Coturnix japonica: one gene and its partners. The main gene of each other region encodes a partner of the protein of the gene in region 3 in a complex. Links are inferred from orthologs where the notes say so. Each region holds a gene or a part of one and is shown on either strand. Other genes may lie near its edges.

What was found. Proteins that work in one complex are often made in the same cells at the same time.
Region 1: the proteins of LIMS1 (region 3) and RSU1 are in contact, whole or in part, in a crystal structure (PDB 7LT9), measured with the Homo sapiens proteins. The link is inferred for Coturnix japonica from reciprocal best matches to the Homo sapiens genes LIMS1 and RSU1. Residues at the interface, in NP_001180417.1 of Homo sapiens: Cys252, Phe253, His254, Cys255, Asn256, Leu267, Asn268, Lys269, Ser279, Thr280, Cys281, Asn282, Thr283, Glu293, Phe294, Asp295, Met296, Lys297, Cys303, Lys306, Phe307, Pro308, Glu310, Leu311, Arg314, Leu315, Lys317, Leu318, Ala319; in NP_036557.1 of Homo sapiens: Asp21, Ser23, Asp24, Gln44, Val46, Ser48, His49, Val67, Asn69, Phe71, Asn72, His90, Asn92, Met95, Glu112, Asp115, Thr117, Tyr118, Arg137, Ala138, Tyr140, Ser142, Asp143, Ile161, Ser163, Arg165, Asp166, Glu184, His186, Gln188.
Region 2: LIMS1 (region 3) and PARVA share a complex: the UniProt entries of both Homo sapiens proteins name them as parts of the heterotrimeric IPP (ILK-PINCH-PARVIN) complex. The link is inferred for Coturnix japonica from reciprocal best matches to the Homo sapiens genes LIMS1 and PARVA.

Annotation. Positions count from the first base shown.
Region 1 is NC_029517.1:18,199,927-18,205,040, reverse strand, and holds the start of RSU1 (ras suppressor protein 1), read right to left. Parts: upstream 3,044-5,114; 5' UTR 2,869-3,043; intron 2,589-2,868; 5' UTR 2,475-2,588; coding exon 2,457-2,474; intron 1,292-2,456; exon of another isoform or gene 1,155-1,291; intron 1,052-1,154; coding exon 940-1,051; intron 1-939. UniProt on the Homo sapiens protein: Potentially plays a role in the Ras signal transduction pathway. Capable of suppressing v-Ras transformation in vitro.
Region 2 is NC_029520.1:12,290,928-12,296,127, forward strand, and holds the start of PARVA (alpha-parvin), read right to left. Parts: upstream 3,044-5,200; 5' UTR 2,927-3,043; intron 2,901-2,926; exon of another isoform or gene 2,882-2,900; intron 2,770-2,881; 5' UTR 2,695-2,769; coding exon 2,559-2,694; intron 2,522-2,558; exon of another isoform or gene 2,315-2,521; intron 1-2,314. UniProt on the Homo sapiens protein: Plays a role in sarcomere organization and in smooth muscle cell contraction. Required for normal development of the embryonic cardiovascular system, and for normal septation of the heart outflow tract.
Region 3 is NC_029516.1:122,924,761-122,929,857, forward strand, and holds the start of LIMS1 (LIM and senescent cell antigen-like-containing domain protein 1), read left to right. Parts: upstream 1-1,610; 5' UTR 1,611-1,705; coding exon 1,706-1,887; intron 1,888-3,495; coding exon 3,496-3,655; intron 3,656-5,097. UniProt on the Homo sapiens protein: Within the IPP (ILK-PINCH-PARVIN) complex, binds to F-actin, promoting F-actin bundling, a process required to generate force for actin cytoskeleton reorganization and subsequent dynamic cell adhesion events such as cell spreading and migration.

The sequences.
Region 1 (5,114 bases), on a different chromosome or scaffold from region 3:
GCGCTCCAGGGATGGGCACCCACAGCTCTGGGCAGCAATGCCAGTGCCTCACAGCCCTGAACCAATGTTCACTTCCATCCATAATGTGAATTCAGTTACAACAGTGTAAAGGGAAGCTCACCAGCCACCCACAGAGAGTACCCACACGTGCAATTGGACACGGCCTGGCACACTTCTTGAAAACCAACCAACGCTGCAGAAGGCAGCTTACCAAACAACTGCAGAGTATCCTCCAACTCAGTGAGCCTTTATATCTCCCACAAGGCTGCCCTCAACTTACAGAAGGCCCCGAATCACTACACTAAAGCACACGATGCAGTGTGCACAGGTGTCTGCATCTGCAGTGCTTACTTTGATGCAATGTAACTAAAGCACCACAAGTTCATGCCCATCACATCCCTAAGTGCCACATCTATCCTTTCTTTGAATACATCCAGAGATGGTGAAACTCCTCCTAGAGCCGCTGCAGTCCTCAGCACTCCCTCACAGCTAAGCACACCACTAAGGGTAGGGTTAAGGGTAGGACATGAACTTCCAGCTGATGCACTTCAATGTTATCTTTCCTCCCAGCTGAAGAAGCAAAACTGACCACGTGCCTTAGTGCTGATTATTATACCCTGTGCCTACTGAACTTAGTAACAGCTCTCAGCCCACACCTTAACGCATCAGAGGCTATGAAAGGGGTAAGCACAGATCTAAAGAAGGGTCTGTGGTCATAGGTGAGCCAGCCACTCATCCAGAGGAGTGCAGGGGAGCTCCTTCCTGAACAGGGATCACACAACGGGCTGCACAACACGACGTGCCCCAGGAGCAGGAAGAGAACGGGCATAGAATGCAGGCCCGGACACACACCGTTCCCTCCCGCGGCCACTCCCGCCCTCATCCCCGGCCCAAATAAGGCGGTGCCGGCGCTCCCTCCCTTGTCGCCCCGCTACGCACACAGGCCGGGCACGTCCAGCATGTTGGAGATGCCTCGGTCGCACATGTCCACCTCGGGCTGGTTCTTCTCCCTGCTCTCCTCCACGATCTTCTTCAGCGACTTGGACATGGCCTGGACGGGACACGTAAAAACACACACACACAAACACCGTCACAAGGGCGGTCCCCACTCAGCAACGCCGACCCACCACCGCGGGACCTCCACCCCGACTCACGGTGCGGTGCAGCGGCGCTGTATGAAGGCTATATTGAGGCTGTATTGAGGCTGTATTAAGGCGGTGGTGGCGGTGGTGTCTGGGCGGAGCCCCGCTCCTCCACGCGCCCACCCGCCCCTCCCTGATCCCAGCCCAGCCCGCCCCTCGCGCAGACGCGCTGCCGCCCCGCCGTGAAGCGCAGCCCGCCCCACGCTGGGGGCGGTTCTAATGGCGGCTCGGAAGGAGAGCTGAAGGAAGTGGTTCGCCCGCCAATAAGCGCGAACCGTAGCTGAGAGCGGGCACTTCAGCCCCCGGGGTCACGGTTGAGCTGCTGAAGGTGTGGCGCAACAAGGCTGGGGTGTCCTGCCTGCTGTCACTGCAGCATCGACAAGATCAAAGCAATTAACGACTCCATCTGTAAAACGACCCGAAGCCTGGACCGCACTGACAGCCGTAGCCTTGAGTTTTGTAGTTCCACAGAAACCAAGGCCGTAAAAGCCCTCTGAGATCACCGAATCCAGCCCCCAACACAGCCCCGCTGTGCCCACAGCCCTCAGTGCCACAGCGCCTCACGGCCGGTGTCCCCAGCAGCTCTCAATGCAGGCCGTGCCATCACCTCGCCGCTCTTTCTGAGCTCGTTTTCCTCACACCCAGCCCGCAGTGTCGGCCTGGCACTGGTCTGGGTGGAATTTCAGCTTTTCCTTTCTAAGAAACGGGATGTTTTAACCCTGAGGTGCAGATCCGCGTTTATCACGAGATGGCGCTCGCTGCATGCAATCGTTTCTCATTGTGTATAAAGAGTAACCCCACCACATAGGAAGGGCAACTCAGAAATGGATGTTTTTAGTGCTTATTTTTCAAACCTTAGTCTTACCATTCCTATATAGTCCTTACCATTCACATATAACTGTCCACTAAAATATACTTTTCATATAAGAAGATGTAATAATGTCCAGAAAATTGACACATAAGTAAAAACAAACATCTGACTCTAGGAGGTGATAGCGTGGACATCGATTATCCGTACTGTGTCATTCAGAGTGGAGAGGTTTGTAGCCATGCAGCTATTACTAGACAGACATGCAGTATTAACAACTACGGTGTGATCTACAAAGCTGTCAGCGACGTGCAAAGACACAAAAGCAAAGATATTGCTGGCAGTATTGTGACACGAAGGCATAATCGTATTAGACAAAGATTTTGTCTTTCGAACTGTGCACTGCAAATAGCAGATCTTTTATCAAAGCTGTTTTTTTAATGTTTAGTAGTTCCAGTTTGCTTTTGCCGTGCAACCATTTTAAAGTGTTTTAAATTACTCCTTACCTTCCAAGACAGAAACATGGCTCCACAACAGCTCTCTCCTTTAAAGACCTTCGCTTTAATAGCTCTGCAGTGGTATTTTTCTTGTGGTTGCTCACATAAGATGTTGGAGGACAACAGTGAGTTACTTTGTTCCTGTTTTTTTTAAAAAAAAGAACTGGTTTGATAATTTACTCTAATTTTAGACCTTGACTATTTTTGGCAAGAGTCAGTTGGGCCAGATCAATTGAACCTTGTACCAGCAGCTTCATTCAGCAGCCTTCGTGGGCATGAATTCTCTGCTGGACTTTCATTTTCTATACAGAAACTCATGCTTATTATTCACACGTAAATACAATTATGCACAAGTAGATGCACATTTAAAGACATGCCAAGCATTACTTATTGTTACTTTTAAAAAATATATTAATCTTACAGATTTTTCTTCCTCTCCTTCATGGTGTTCTTCACACTTTCTTCTTCCTGCAGAGATTCAGTGATTCCATATGTTTTGTTTGGCATTACCACCAAAATTGATACCAAGATCAGTATTTATCTGTATCAGAAAACTATCTGAAAGCATTTTGGCTGCTTGAAAGAGAACTATGACTCTTCTCTTAGTGAAATCTGTCTTTATGAAGTAAAGATTACAACACACTGCTCAGTTTAACCGAAGCCCTCCCTATGGAGCATAGGGCCAAAGGCTACATTGCCAAAACTGGCCTCCCACCAATCATAGCCAAACACTGTGGAATAGCCAACAGCCTTGGCAGGCCAACATGGGGCCAGAGGTCTCCTCAGGGGAACAAACTTTGTGTCAATAAACTGTATGATGAGTGACCGAGATCAGCTGCAAAAAGCCGCTAACAAACTTAATTAATTAAAACTAGGTACAGATTTCTATTCAGTGTGTTGGTCTGTCATAATCTTGGCAAGACCAAGGTTCAGCCTGTAACAGAACTCATTGTCCACATAGGAAAGGAATGTTCTGCAGAACTTGGCCGGCCTTGTAGCAGCAGAGAGTTGCCTGGGTGAGATCTGCCCTTCTGCTCCACCAATGGCTTCCAGATGAGCAGAGCTGCAGGCTGCTGAGGTACAAAAACACAATGTTCTTGCCTAAAATCTGGTGCTGGTCTGACCATCCACCCAGCAGCAAGAGCCAGCAACCACATCTGCTCCATCCCAACTGCACCAAATCCACAATGACTCATCAGAAGGTCAAAACCACGATGGATGCACACGGAGCCCCATGATACAGCCAGCCCCTAGAAAAAATAAACTCCTTCCTGATCTCTGCAGGCAACCAGCTGAAGCCATGTTTAACTGTACTTACATTGTCTTACGAGTTGTTATATTTAGAGTTTATTTTGTAGCTTTATCTCCAGGCAGTGCAGCTGAATTTATTTTCTTAGCTGCCCTTTTATAAGTTTTTAATAAGCTTTATGGACAGAGATTGCATGATTTCTTGATTTCTAATATGAAATCAGCTTGGTGTGGAGTATTGAAAAAGATCTGGGACACATAATTTTGCTCTCTTTTGTCTTCCCTTATTAAAGGAACTTTCTGGTCTTCCTGCAGACACAGCAGTTTCCTAGTTTGATCCAAATAAAGATATTTCTCCTTTTGCCATGTTATACTTTGGCACATTAGCAGGTGTATCACCTGTACCTAAGCTAGGTTTTTCTTCATGATGAGAAGGCTCTAAAGCCATGCCTTATATCTCATTGACTTGGCCAGTGGGAGTTCACAGACATCGCTCTTTTGTATGTTATGAGGTCATTTCAGAATGTTGAGTATCTTGAGTTTCATATCATGTCATCTACGTCTTTGCACTTTTTTGTTTTGTTTTCTGCTTTGTCTTTTAACTAGGATGGCTCCTCAGCCATTACAACATTTGTGGTTCTTTTCTAATGGAATTAGTCCTTTTTCAACATTCACTGGGAAACCCTCTAAGAGTTTCCAGAGTTTGATAGAACTGCCATTAACAATCCAGATTATAATCAATTACTGCCACAATCTCCTTAAGAAATTAATTTCCATGAGTGAACCGGTGTTCTCTGTATATCCCAGCAGAAGATGTGTGTCGGCCTGGGGAGGGAGCAAACTGCTGTTAGTAAAAAGCTAATCAATAGTTTGGTATCTACCCTATTCTGAAGTTATGTCCATTTATAAAATGCCTGGAATTGTCCACAAGTTGTTTAGGAAGCTGATACTTTTGCCAAAAGTCTCACAAGGTTTTTTATAAACTCAGTAACAATATAGATTTTGAAGTCTAAAGATCTGACATGGTAAATACAGTGACAGAGGTGTGAAGTTCTTCAGCAAAGTTATCTGTGTAAGTGGCTATAGGACAGGGGCCATTTTTAGCAAAGGCTGATTTTGTTCTCGTTTGAATAACGTGAGCTGTGATTTAGCACACATAGTTGGACTTGCTGATCCTAAAGGTCTCTTCCAACACAAACGATCCCATGACTGTGATTTTCACAAATGGTTTCACAAAGACAGGAACTACAGAACTAACTGAAGATAACTTTCATAGACTCATAGAATCACCAAGGTTGGAAAAGACCTAAAAGATCATCCAGTCCAACCATTCACCTATTACCAATAGCTCCCACTAAACCATGTCCTTCAACACAACATCCAGTCGTTCCTTGAACACCCCCAGGGTCGGTGACTCCC
Region 2 (5,200 bases), on a different chromosome or scaffold from region 3:
ACCAAGGCAGTATTCCTCCAGGGGCAGAGGGGCAGGCTGTGCCCAGCACCAGCTGCGCAGCTGGCCCTGCTGGTACACTGGGGACATGGGAACATGGTAGGCAGAAGCAGCAGGGAAAGAAGATTATGCACACATGTCAGTTGCTATGCACTGAGGTTGGAAACACATTATGGCAGACATGAAAGAAAGCAACAGCTATCCTGATGCAGCAGGAAAGCCCAGCACTGATGTGCTGCGGTACAAACAGAAAGCAGAGATAGAATGGTGCCAATACAGCTTTCATCATGACATTTCTTCCTCAAAGGAAACACAGTGCATGCCTGCAGGGCACCAGGGTGGAATGAGCACGCAGAAGCCCATTTTTGTTTGTGGTACATGTTACCAATGGATATTAGGCCATGAGGGCACACCACTGGCTCATGGCCAACCTGTTGTACACCGGGACACCCAGGTCCTTCTCTGCAGAGCTCCTCCCCAGCAGGTCAGCCCCCAACCTGCACTGGCACACACAGTTGTCCCTCCCCAGGTGCAGGACTCTACACTTGCTTTTGTTAAGCCTCACCTGGTTCCTCACTGCTCAACAAATTCTTCAACACTTTTTTTTTTCCTGTACAATTCAAAGACAAGTCACAGAAACAGGTCCAAAGAAAACAAGCCAAAAATCTCACCTTACATAGGGCACTTGTGGACCAAAGAAACCCTGTTACTTTGGTGAGCACCCACAGCCAGGTGGAGGTGTGATCTCTGTCAGAGTCACACATCAAAGCACTTAAGTCACAGATTCCAGAAAGACACAAATTTTACATCAAGTATCTCAAATGCTCCCATCACCCTGTGCTTAAGGCTTCCCTTGTTGCCTTTATTTATGGATTAAGCTACTACAAAGCTTCATTGTCAAGCCAGGTAAATCTAAGGAGGACAATCACACATGGCCTTCCTGAACCCCCCATGTAAAATTCACAAGATAACATAACACAATATAGAGAAAATGAGATCATTATGTTCGCTCCTTGCATTGGTATGGAGATAGGCTTAATATGCAATACAAACCGCTATCAAAAATGTGTGATTTGCTCTTGGTTTTGAGGAACACAGAGAGACCAGTGAACACGTTATGCTCCTGCCCAGCAACCCCTGGGCTCCTTATAGGCACAGAAGAGGCAGCTCAGTCTTGGAATGGTTTTCAGGAACAAAAAGGACAGAATCTCACCAAAAACTACAGAACTCTGGGCTATGATAGTTCAGCTGTAAACAGATCACTGAATATTCTGCATTTTTTCATAAGATAAAAAGCTATTACTACTGAATACAGTTAATCATTTGTGGGTTTTGTCACTTAAAAAACATTTTTATGCTATCTAAAGTTAGAGCTGCTTTGTGCTTTCACCGAACGACAGTGTTCTCATCTTTGGATGACAGCAGACGAAGAACTTTAAATGAAAACCAAGACACGACATGACAGAACATAAGCAAATCTCTGCTCCAAATTTTAGATCTCATGAAACGCTCCATAAAATGCACTGTAATTAAATATTACGTTTTAATGTATGACTAATCCCTACTGACATCATCCATGGTATCTCAAGTAACTGTATCTTAGGTTACTCAAAGCATCACACACAGAGTAAATGAACTGCCCAAAGCAGTATCTGCAGCACAGGGGCCTGTGTGAAATGCTGTGCTGCTGTCAGTACCCAGCTGTGTACCTCAGAAGCACGGTCTGCTGAGCAGAACGCCCCCCTCCTTTGCAAGCAAACGACTTGCAAGCTTGAAAAAACAGTTTGGAAATGACCGCTAACTTGGTACCGAGTTTAAATTAACAGCAGCAGCAAAAACGCTGGGTGAGTAAGGTTAAACCCCAGTTCTCTGCCTCACGGGATTCTAAATCGGCAGATTCAGTAGCGGGTGGGTATTAATTCAAATACACGGACAAAGAACCCGAATGTCGGCTCAGCGTTCTTCGAGCTCCACTGCAACGAGCCGAGGGCTCCCAGCCGGGCACAGGAACGAGCAGGTTAAACTGTAACCATCAGAGCGCTGTTGCAAGCTGTGTGCGTGACCCTGCCCTCCCAAAGCGCCGTGCCGACGGCGGGCCGCACACAACACAACGCCCTGCGAGCTACAGCGGGCACGCACACCAAGTCTCGCAGAGCGGTGGGCTCCGCCCCGCCCGCCATCCGGACAGCCCCGGGCCGCCGCGGGGACACGGCCCGCTCCTCCGCGTGGCTCTGCGGCCGCCCCGCCCGGCCCTCCCCGGCCCGCGGGACCATCTCGGCGCCGCCCGCTCCCTCCCGGCCGATCGGCCCGTCTCGGCCCCACGGCCGCATCAGCCCGGCGGCTCCCGGTCGGAGCTCTCCCGTCCCCGCGTCGCCAGCTCGAGCTGCGCCCCAGGGCGACGCGGCGCTCCTCCCTTCCCCGCTCGCCTGCCCACCCCACCCGCGTCCGCCCGTCAGCCCCTTCCTCCGCTCCCCCGAGCCTTTCCTCTCCCCGTGTCTCCTCCCACCCTCCTCCCCGTCCCGAGGTAACTCCCAGGAAACGCGCGAACCTGCGCTTCTTACCTTCTTTGGCTTTTTTCCTCCTGGCCAGCGTGCCGCCGAGCTTGCCCAGGAACGAGTCATCTTTTTTTCTGGACGGGGGCGATTTCGGGGTGGGAGATTTGGGGGAAGAAGGGGACTTCTGGGGGGACGATGCCATGGCGGGCCCGGCCGGCGATCGGGGATGGAGGAGACGGCTGCGAGGCCCCGGAGCCGTGGGAGGCCGCTCCCGGCTCTGAACGGAAGCGGAATTATTCCAGGCATTTGAGGCAGCTCCGTGCCGCTCTCCCGCTCCTGCCCTGCCTCCCGCCCGCCCTCCGCTGCCGGCTGCGCCCCTCCGCCCTCACCTGTCCCGCCGGGGGACGGCCCTCCAGCCCCGCCGCCCCTCGTACCTTCCTGCGGGTCGGTTCGGGCCCTGGCGTAGGGCGACCCGCTCAGCAAAAAGCTCGGGTGCGGCCAGAGGCGCAGCTTTGGCAGGGGAAGGGCGCAGCCGGGCAGCCCGAGCGGGGCCGGGCCTCGGGGCGGTGCGGCGGCTGATGGCCGCCTGGAAGCGGCACGGGACCGCCGCGAGCTGAGAGCGGGCCGGGCAGCACCGGGACAACTCGGTACCTGCACGCACGTGGCAGCTCCGGGAGGTGTTTCTGCACTGTGTGAGCATCTAACAGCCGTGCCGCTGGATAGCCCTGTGCCAGCTGGAGGCACGCGTACGTTTGCAGGGAGCACGCTGTGCTAAGCAGCCCTCGGGATACCGCCAGAGCTTCTGGCTGAGGGAGGCGGGCATCGAGGTTTCTACGGAAAAATAAAATAAAATAATAACCGCTGTGGAAAGTAGGGAAGCAAGGTGACTTAGCACTACTGTCATTTGCAGATGAGTTGCTTTAGAGAGAAGCTTCTTTAAAGCAGATGATGTGCTGCAGCTCGGGAGCTGGTGCGGAAGGCACCCGGGGCTGCGGTGTCAGCTGGAGGCGCTGCTTTCCCTTCCCCGCTTAATCACTCCATTAACAGTTCGGGCAAAAAGCCACCCACGCTTCATGCAAATACCGTGCTGTCCTTTAGGCGGAATGAGCGAAATGAAATTACCGCGAGGATATTTCTAAATCAGCTCATAATTGTTGTGTTTTCACAAGCTGGTGGCATCGGTTAGCTGACATCAATGAGTATTTGTTGTGTGCAGTTAGTATATGCCCTGGGGAAAAGCTTTATTCATCCATACTGCCATCAGTTAAAAGCAGAACGAGCCCAGGCTGCCACCACTGCTCCACGTGTCCTTGGCTTTGCTCTCTGGTTCCAAGCAGGCTGCCGAAACCTGGAGCAGACCTCAAGGCCTCTCACCGTGCTCCCTGTCAGCACCTTGTTCTTACTGGTGAGCCAACCGATAGCTCACTTTAATTGTATAGCCTCATCATGTTCATGCTATTGCCAGGTAATAAAGTTGGTTACATCAGCACACTTCACATGCATCCTTATTCACCTGCACAGCCATCCATGCACACCCGTTTCTTTTATTTCTTTTACTGCAGGACTCAGAGTGATTGGGAACAGACTCTTGCTTCTGATTGAGGTAGAAGAGACATGATTCAGACTATACTTGCTGTTGGCCAGGCTAATGAGAAGGAGCACTTCAGCACTGAAAGGATTCCATATACTTAACCTGAGATGGCTGGCTCCTGTGATAGAGGTCAGCTCTGATGTCCTGTCTAGTTTTTCAAAGTACTTTTGCTTATTATTACTATTATTTTTTAAACACACAGGCTTAAGGCCAAGCTGGTTAAGGCCATACAATAAATTCTTGCTCTGTCTTTAAGTTCAGCGTTTGTCTCTGTCGTGTGCCTCTGCATGAGCCTTTTATCTGATTGGTCGCTTAAACCACAGAAGGCAGATGCTTCAGTGCCCCACTGCTATTGCTGTAACTGCTTTCAGCAAATCTCTTCACTGACTTGAGGAGGAACAGAACTAGACCAAAGTCCACCCTTTTCATTTTCCCACACATTTGACTGACAATTCTGCACAGTTAACTACTGAACGTGCCCTCCACTATACCTCCCCACCAAGTAACAGTCAACAGCACCATAAAAGAGGCTGCTTAGAAACCTAACAAAAGAGTATGTATTGTATACAGCTACAGAGATGAAATATTTTAGAAGTTCCAAAGGGAATTGTCACTCAGATGCTAGCATCATTCTGGTGCTTAATGCTTCCAGCCACGTGGTAGTTCTGTCAATTAGTCATCGATGTGTGCATGGCCAAATTCATATGCATTCACATCTAACTGTGTTGAGACTGTTTTAGGAAAAATTAGTATAAGGAATTTTTCTCAATAAGCATCACTTGTGCCTTTCACTTGAGCCCATGATTTTGTGCATCTGTTACATCAATATTCCAGCAAGGCGTTCCTTTACCTTGAGGGCAAACAGACTGATCTTGAGGCAAGTAATAGCTTACAAAATCCATTCCCTGAAATCCTTGCCCAATTGGCTTTTTTTAGATACAGAATCTTTTGAAGATAGAAGGAGCAAGCAGGAGGGAAGCCTCAGTCAATTCATTGGTGACATTCCTCTCCACACTGTGCTCTGGGACACCCAAACCCCCTAAGTGGTTACCTGCTGCCTGAGAGGTGTTAAACACAGACAATAGTTTGATGTATTACTTCCAATAAACCCTGCAGG
Region 3 (5,097 bases):
TCAGCCCGGTGTAGATCATAGCAGCAAAGTGACAAAAAAAGAGAGAAAGATGATCAGTTACTGTGCCTTTGTGGATTACCAGACCATCCCAGTAGAAACTATGTTTTGTTTTGGTAGCCTGAAGGCCCTTTTTAAACTCCTGGCAAGCTCCTTTCTTCCCTCCCGGGGAAGGAGTCAGGAGTAACTCAGTTGGCAGCAGTGCCAGCAGCCTGCAGAACAAGTCTGCTTTAGCCAGAAGGCACATCGGGGAGCACAGAAGACATGGGTGCTGCAGCAGGAGGAGGAGAAGCCTTTCCCTCCAGCACTGCTTCCCACAGTGCTGCACCAGCAATGTCATCATGACCTATAGCTATGACCCAAGCAGTGCTTCGTCTAGAGCTTGCCCCACAGCAGATAAATATAGGGCTTGAGCTCCAGCCTCCTCAACCTGTTACAACCTGCGGCTCCTGATGATCCTAAGATGGATAATCAGACCTGTGTGTGCATAAACACACAGGTCATGCTGCCTTGGCCCCACCTGCCATGATGTCTTGTGACACACGGGAGCAGCTTGCTTGGAAGCCACCAAGGGGAATTAAAGGGAAGAACCCTGACCAAACCCATTCCTGAAATCTGGCCTGTTTGCTTTTGCTTTCCAGAAGAAAATCTGTAGCACTGCATTGGCCAGGCCATGGGAAGACAGTGATGTGTGAGCCCAGGTTTGAGCTGAGAGCATCATGTCCTCTGCTGGGCACACACTCAGTTACCTCAGCCAGTGCTGAGACATGTGGTGCAGAGCTCAATCAATGCTCAAGAATGAGTTTAATTTGCTAGGTTTTTTAGATTTTTGAAGAGAGCATAACTGTAAAATAATCGCAACATTGGGACGGTTTTCTGTGGTGAAGGAATGATTCATTTTCACTCTTGCTTCTTTCTTCCTGGTCTTGCTTTCTCGCTTTCCTGATATCCACAGTGCATTACTTCAGTGTTCAAATCTATGGAGCATCCTCGTGTTCGGTGATTGTTCTAAATGCAGCACAGTACTGAAAATCACGCTCCGTTTCATTTCCTTCATCTATTATAGCATACTTGGCACTTCAGTTAACAGCCTGTGAGGCAAAACAGAAAACAAACTGGCCCTCTGTATCTATGCTTTCTGTGAAGTGCTGATGAGAAGGAAGGTGCCTATAGATAAATGCAGCATATATACCTTAGAAGGTATAAGTGGAGCATTAAAAGGCCATTTTTACAGTGTGATTAATATGCCCAAGCATTGAAACAATATTTACCTAATGACAGAAGCCTCTTCTTCATGCTGGTTAGCCCATGACAAAGCCTTGTTGGAATCCACATCCATCCCCTCAGCAGACATAAGCCTGCGGACAGGTTTGCTGAGGAACACCTTGGATCACATTGGTTGCTCACAAAACAGCTCTCCGGGTCCAAGAGGATTTCTCCATCAGCAGCCAGCAGCAAAGCCCCTTTCTAGCATCTGGGTGTGCATGACAGCCCAGTGCTGGAATGTGCTCCTCTGCAGCACAGCTTTTAACTTGAAGCTCTGGCAGGGTGCTGGGTAGCTCTGGCTCAATGACACAGAGGCGCTGAAAGTTAGTCACTTGGTTTGAGAACAAGGGGAAGCCCGGCGCATTGTTCTGCTGCCTTTGCCTCCAGCTCCCTCGCGATATAAGCACAGAATATATATACCCGTGATAACAGCTAGAGGAACATGGACTTCCAGCGCAGAGGTTACCCCTATGCGATCCCGGAGAATGAAGAGATCGCTTACAGCGTCTCTCACAATGCCTACAACTCAACGGGAAATGAAGGCGAGAAACCAGTGTCGAAACTGCAGCGTAGGCACAGTGACGTTAAACTCTACAAAGAGTTTTGTGACTTCTACGCAAAATTGTAAGTCCGCGCTGCTCAGCTCTGGGCTGTAACCGCGGTGACATTATTGGCATATGGTCACTGTGTTTTTTACCGTCTGGGCTCTGTAAGCCATTCTCTAAGGCAGCCTTTACCACAGCTCTGTGTCTGATATGTTGCCAGTTGTAATCATCAACTAGAATTTGAGCTGGTGCTGTGAACTTAATCAGTGATTGCGTCAGACGTTTTTATCAGGGGTTGAAGCAGGGTTGGCATTTGCCAAGTCGTCTCTGACTTCAGATTGTTTGCTTGTTTTGGGCGAACGTGTAGGCTGTTTCACTAATGCAGGACTGTTGCATGCATCACTGTTTTTACATACGTGTTTTTACTTGGATTACGTTTTTTCTCCGACAGCACTTAGTATTAAGTAACTTGTAAGTTTAGCACCCTTAATACTCAGGAACTGGTGAGGTGATGGTGAGGCTCGTGGTTTATGTTGTGAATACTGCTTGTTCAGATTAACGCAGAGTACGGGTGAAGTGTCTGACGTTTTTCCCCCTTCAGAAAACATACGTAATCCATGTAGACCATTGGCTAACTGTATGCTTAGCTATACTTTATACAAATAATCAGTGCTGTTTTTCAGTATGCTGATACTCTTAAGTATGAAATAGACCCTTCCTCAGCCTGACCCCCTTTGTGAAATTTGGCCACTCGTTGTTTCACTGTGAGGACAGTGACCCTTTTTTGGTACTGGGGCCTTAATTAAGTGTAAGACATCTGTACTGACTGTTGTATGTGTGAACACAATCCTAGTGAAGCTGCTAATCCCCTTGATACTTTGCAGCTATCACACTCATTCTGTGGTCACATGCCTTTGTGAAGCAACCAAAATTGCTATTTATTTGAGCTTTTATTTTGCATCACCTGTTTGCATTGCCCTATGCCTGGGTCATGGTGGAGCACCCCAGCACTGCAGCCAGAGTATTTCTACCTTCTCCTTGTCCTTGGTCTGGTGCTGAGGAGCTGCAATCTGCTTTTATGGAGATGAACCCTAACAAACCAACCAAAGATCCTATGACTTTATTATTTCTACAAGTTGTGCATAGCTTGAAGTGATTTTACAGTTTTGTTTACCTGCTGTGGTTTTCAGCAACCTACCATGTATAATATTTTAAACTCTTCCACACTGCTTGTTTAGAGCTTTTGAATTAATGTTGTATTCTGTTGTATTCTCGTATTCTAGAATTGTGAATTATTTTAGAATTAGCCTTCGTATTTTCCAATGTGAGGTCCTTAATTATTGGGAATTATTAGTAATAGGTGAACGGTTGGACTGGATGATCTTTTAGGTCTTTTCCAACCTTGGTGGTTCTATGATTCTATGGTTCTCCTCATAAAGAGACAGCATCTGTAACAATGACCAATAGTTATTATAACGCATTGATTTTGTTTCCAAAGAGTTTGGAGCCAGAAGGAAACAGTTTTATTTCTAAGGGATCACCACAAGTCATTAAGTTCATGGAAAGGTTTTCACTGGACAGCTTAGCATTAGGCTGATGCCATTGGCTTTGGAAAAATATAGAGAACCAGAATCAGTTGTGCTGCCTTTGGAACTCATTTTCTTTCTGTTTCTTGTTTTCATGACAGCAACATGGCAAACGCACTCGCAAATGCCATCTGTGAGCGCTGTAGAGGGGGCTTTGCGCCAGCAGAGAAAATCGTCAACAGCAATGGCGAGCTGTACCACGAGCAGTGCTTCGTGTGTGCCCAGTGCTTCCAGCAGTTTCCGGAAGGGCTCTTCTACGAGGTAAGCTGGGAGAAGTAATTACAGGCTGATCGATACCTTAGCAACTGCTATGGAAGAAATGGAGTTCCAAAAGATTATGCCTTTTAGAGGGGAGAAGGAAGAAGAAATGTTTCCATGGCTGTTTGGAGCATATCAGTGCGTATAACCTTATTTAAGTGAGGAAAGAACTACTGGAGATTCCTCTCCCTCTGCAGATTTTTTTTCATACATATACATTTCATTTCATACTATATATTAATCACAGAATCACAGAATTGTAGGGGTTGGAAGGGACCTCTAGAGATCATCAAGTCCAACCCCCCTGCCAAAGCAGGTTCCCTACACCACGTCACACAGGTAGGCGTCCAGGTGGGTCTTGAGTATCTCCAGAGAAGGAGACTCCACCACCTCCCTGGGCAGCCTGTTCCAGTGCTCCGTCACCCTCACTGTAAAGAAAAATATTGTATCAGAAATACAGGGAAAGCATTCTTCTTAGAATAGAGTTGTCAAAGGGAAATCCCAGCATCCTGCAGTCTTTAGGAGGTTTATTGCTGAGTGAGTGAGTGAGGCCTGCACAGCTTCTGAAATATCACTTGACCTGTAAGCCATCATGCTGAGGTCAAGGTGCGTTGACAGCCAAAATCAGATGAGGCCTGAGTCAGGTAAACCCAGAGTTTAATATACTTTCAATGGAAAACCCCACTCACCTTTCTTTAACCCTAGGTGTAAGGAAGGGTAGAACATGGGAGACAGGCAGTTATTACCTGAGGTTTGTGGATGGCTAACTGAGGCTCTAACAGATTAAAGGCAAAGTGCACACAATTATCAAATGTTCAGTTGCTTCTGAAAATTCTGTTCTAACCCACTTTCACATGCAGTGCCCATCATTGTGTCAAGAGCACAACATTTAATCTTCCACAGGGGTATTCTTAATTATACAGAGTCATGCTGTATGGTTAGAAGGAGACGGGGAGAGGAGTATTAATTGGAAAAAGAGGCTGGCAAAGGGGATTCCTGGGCTTACTTTCTCTCACCTTTCTTGAGGATCAAAAGGTTTTTCAGTGCTGTAGAGATAGTGTAGCACAATTTGTGGCAAATGAGCCAGCAGTGCTCCATGACACATCAAAAGGTGGGCTGCAAAAGAGTAGCAATTAAGAAAAGACAAAACAACACACCCCTTGGATATTTACACATTGCATTATTATTGTTAATATCATGAGTTGCTCCCTGTTTGCAGGCACAGTAAAGAGTCTGCCCTGACGTGTTAAGACCTGAGTCAAATGTGAGGTGATACATACATCTTAAAAGTAGAACATTTGTTGATAAATCTGTCATGAAACAATAAAATGTATTTTTCTCTAAATAATGAGCGCTTTATTCATCATTTTTCTGACTCTCAAATAACAGTGGGAGAATCCATGGACCTCTTTCAGGAAGTGGAGTGGTCTTTTGTGATATGAGAC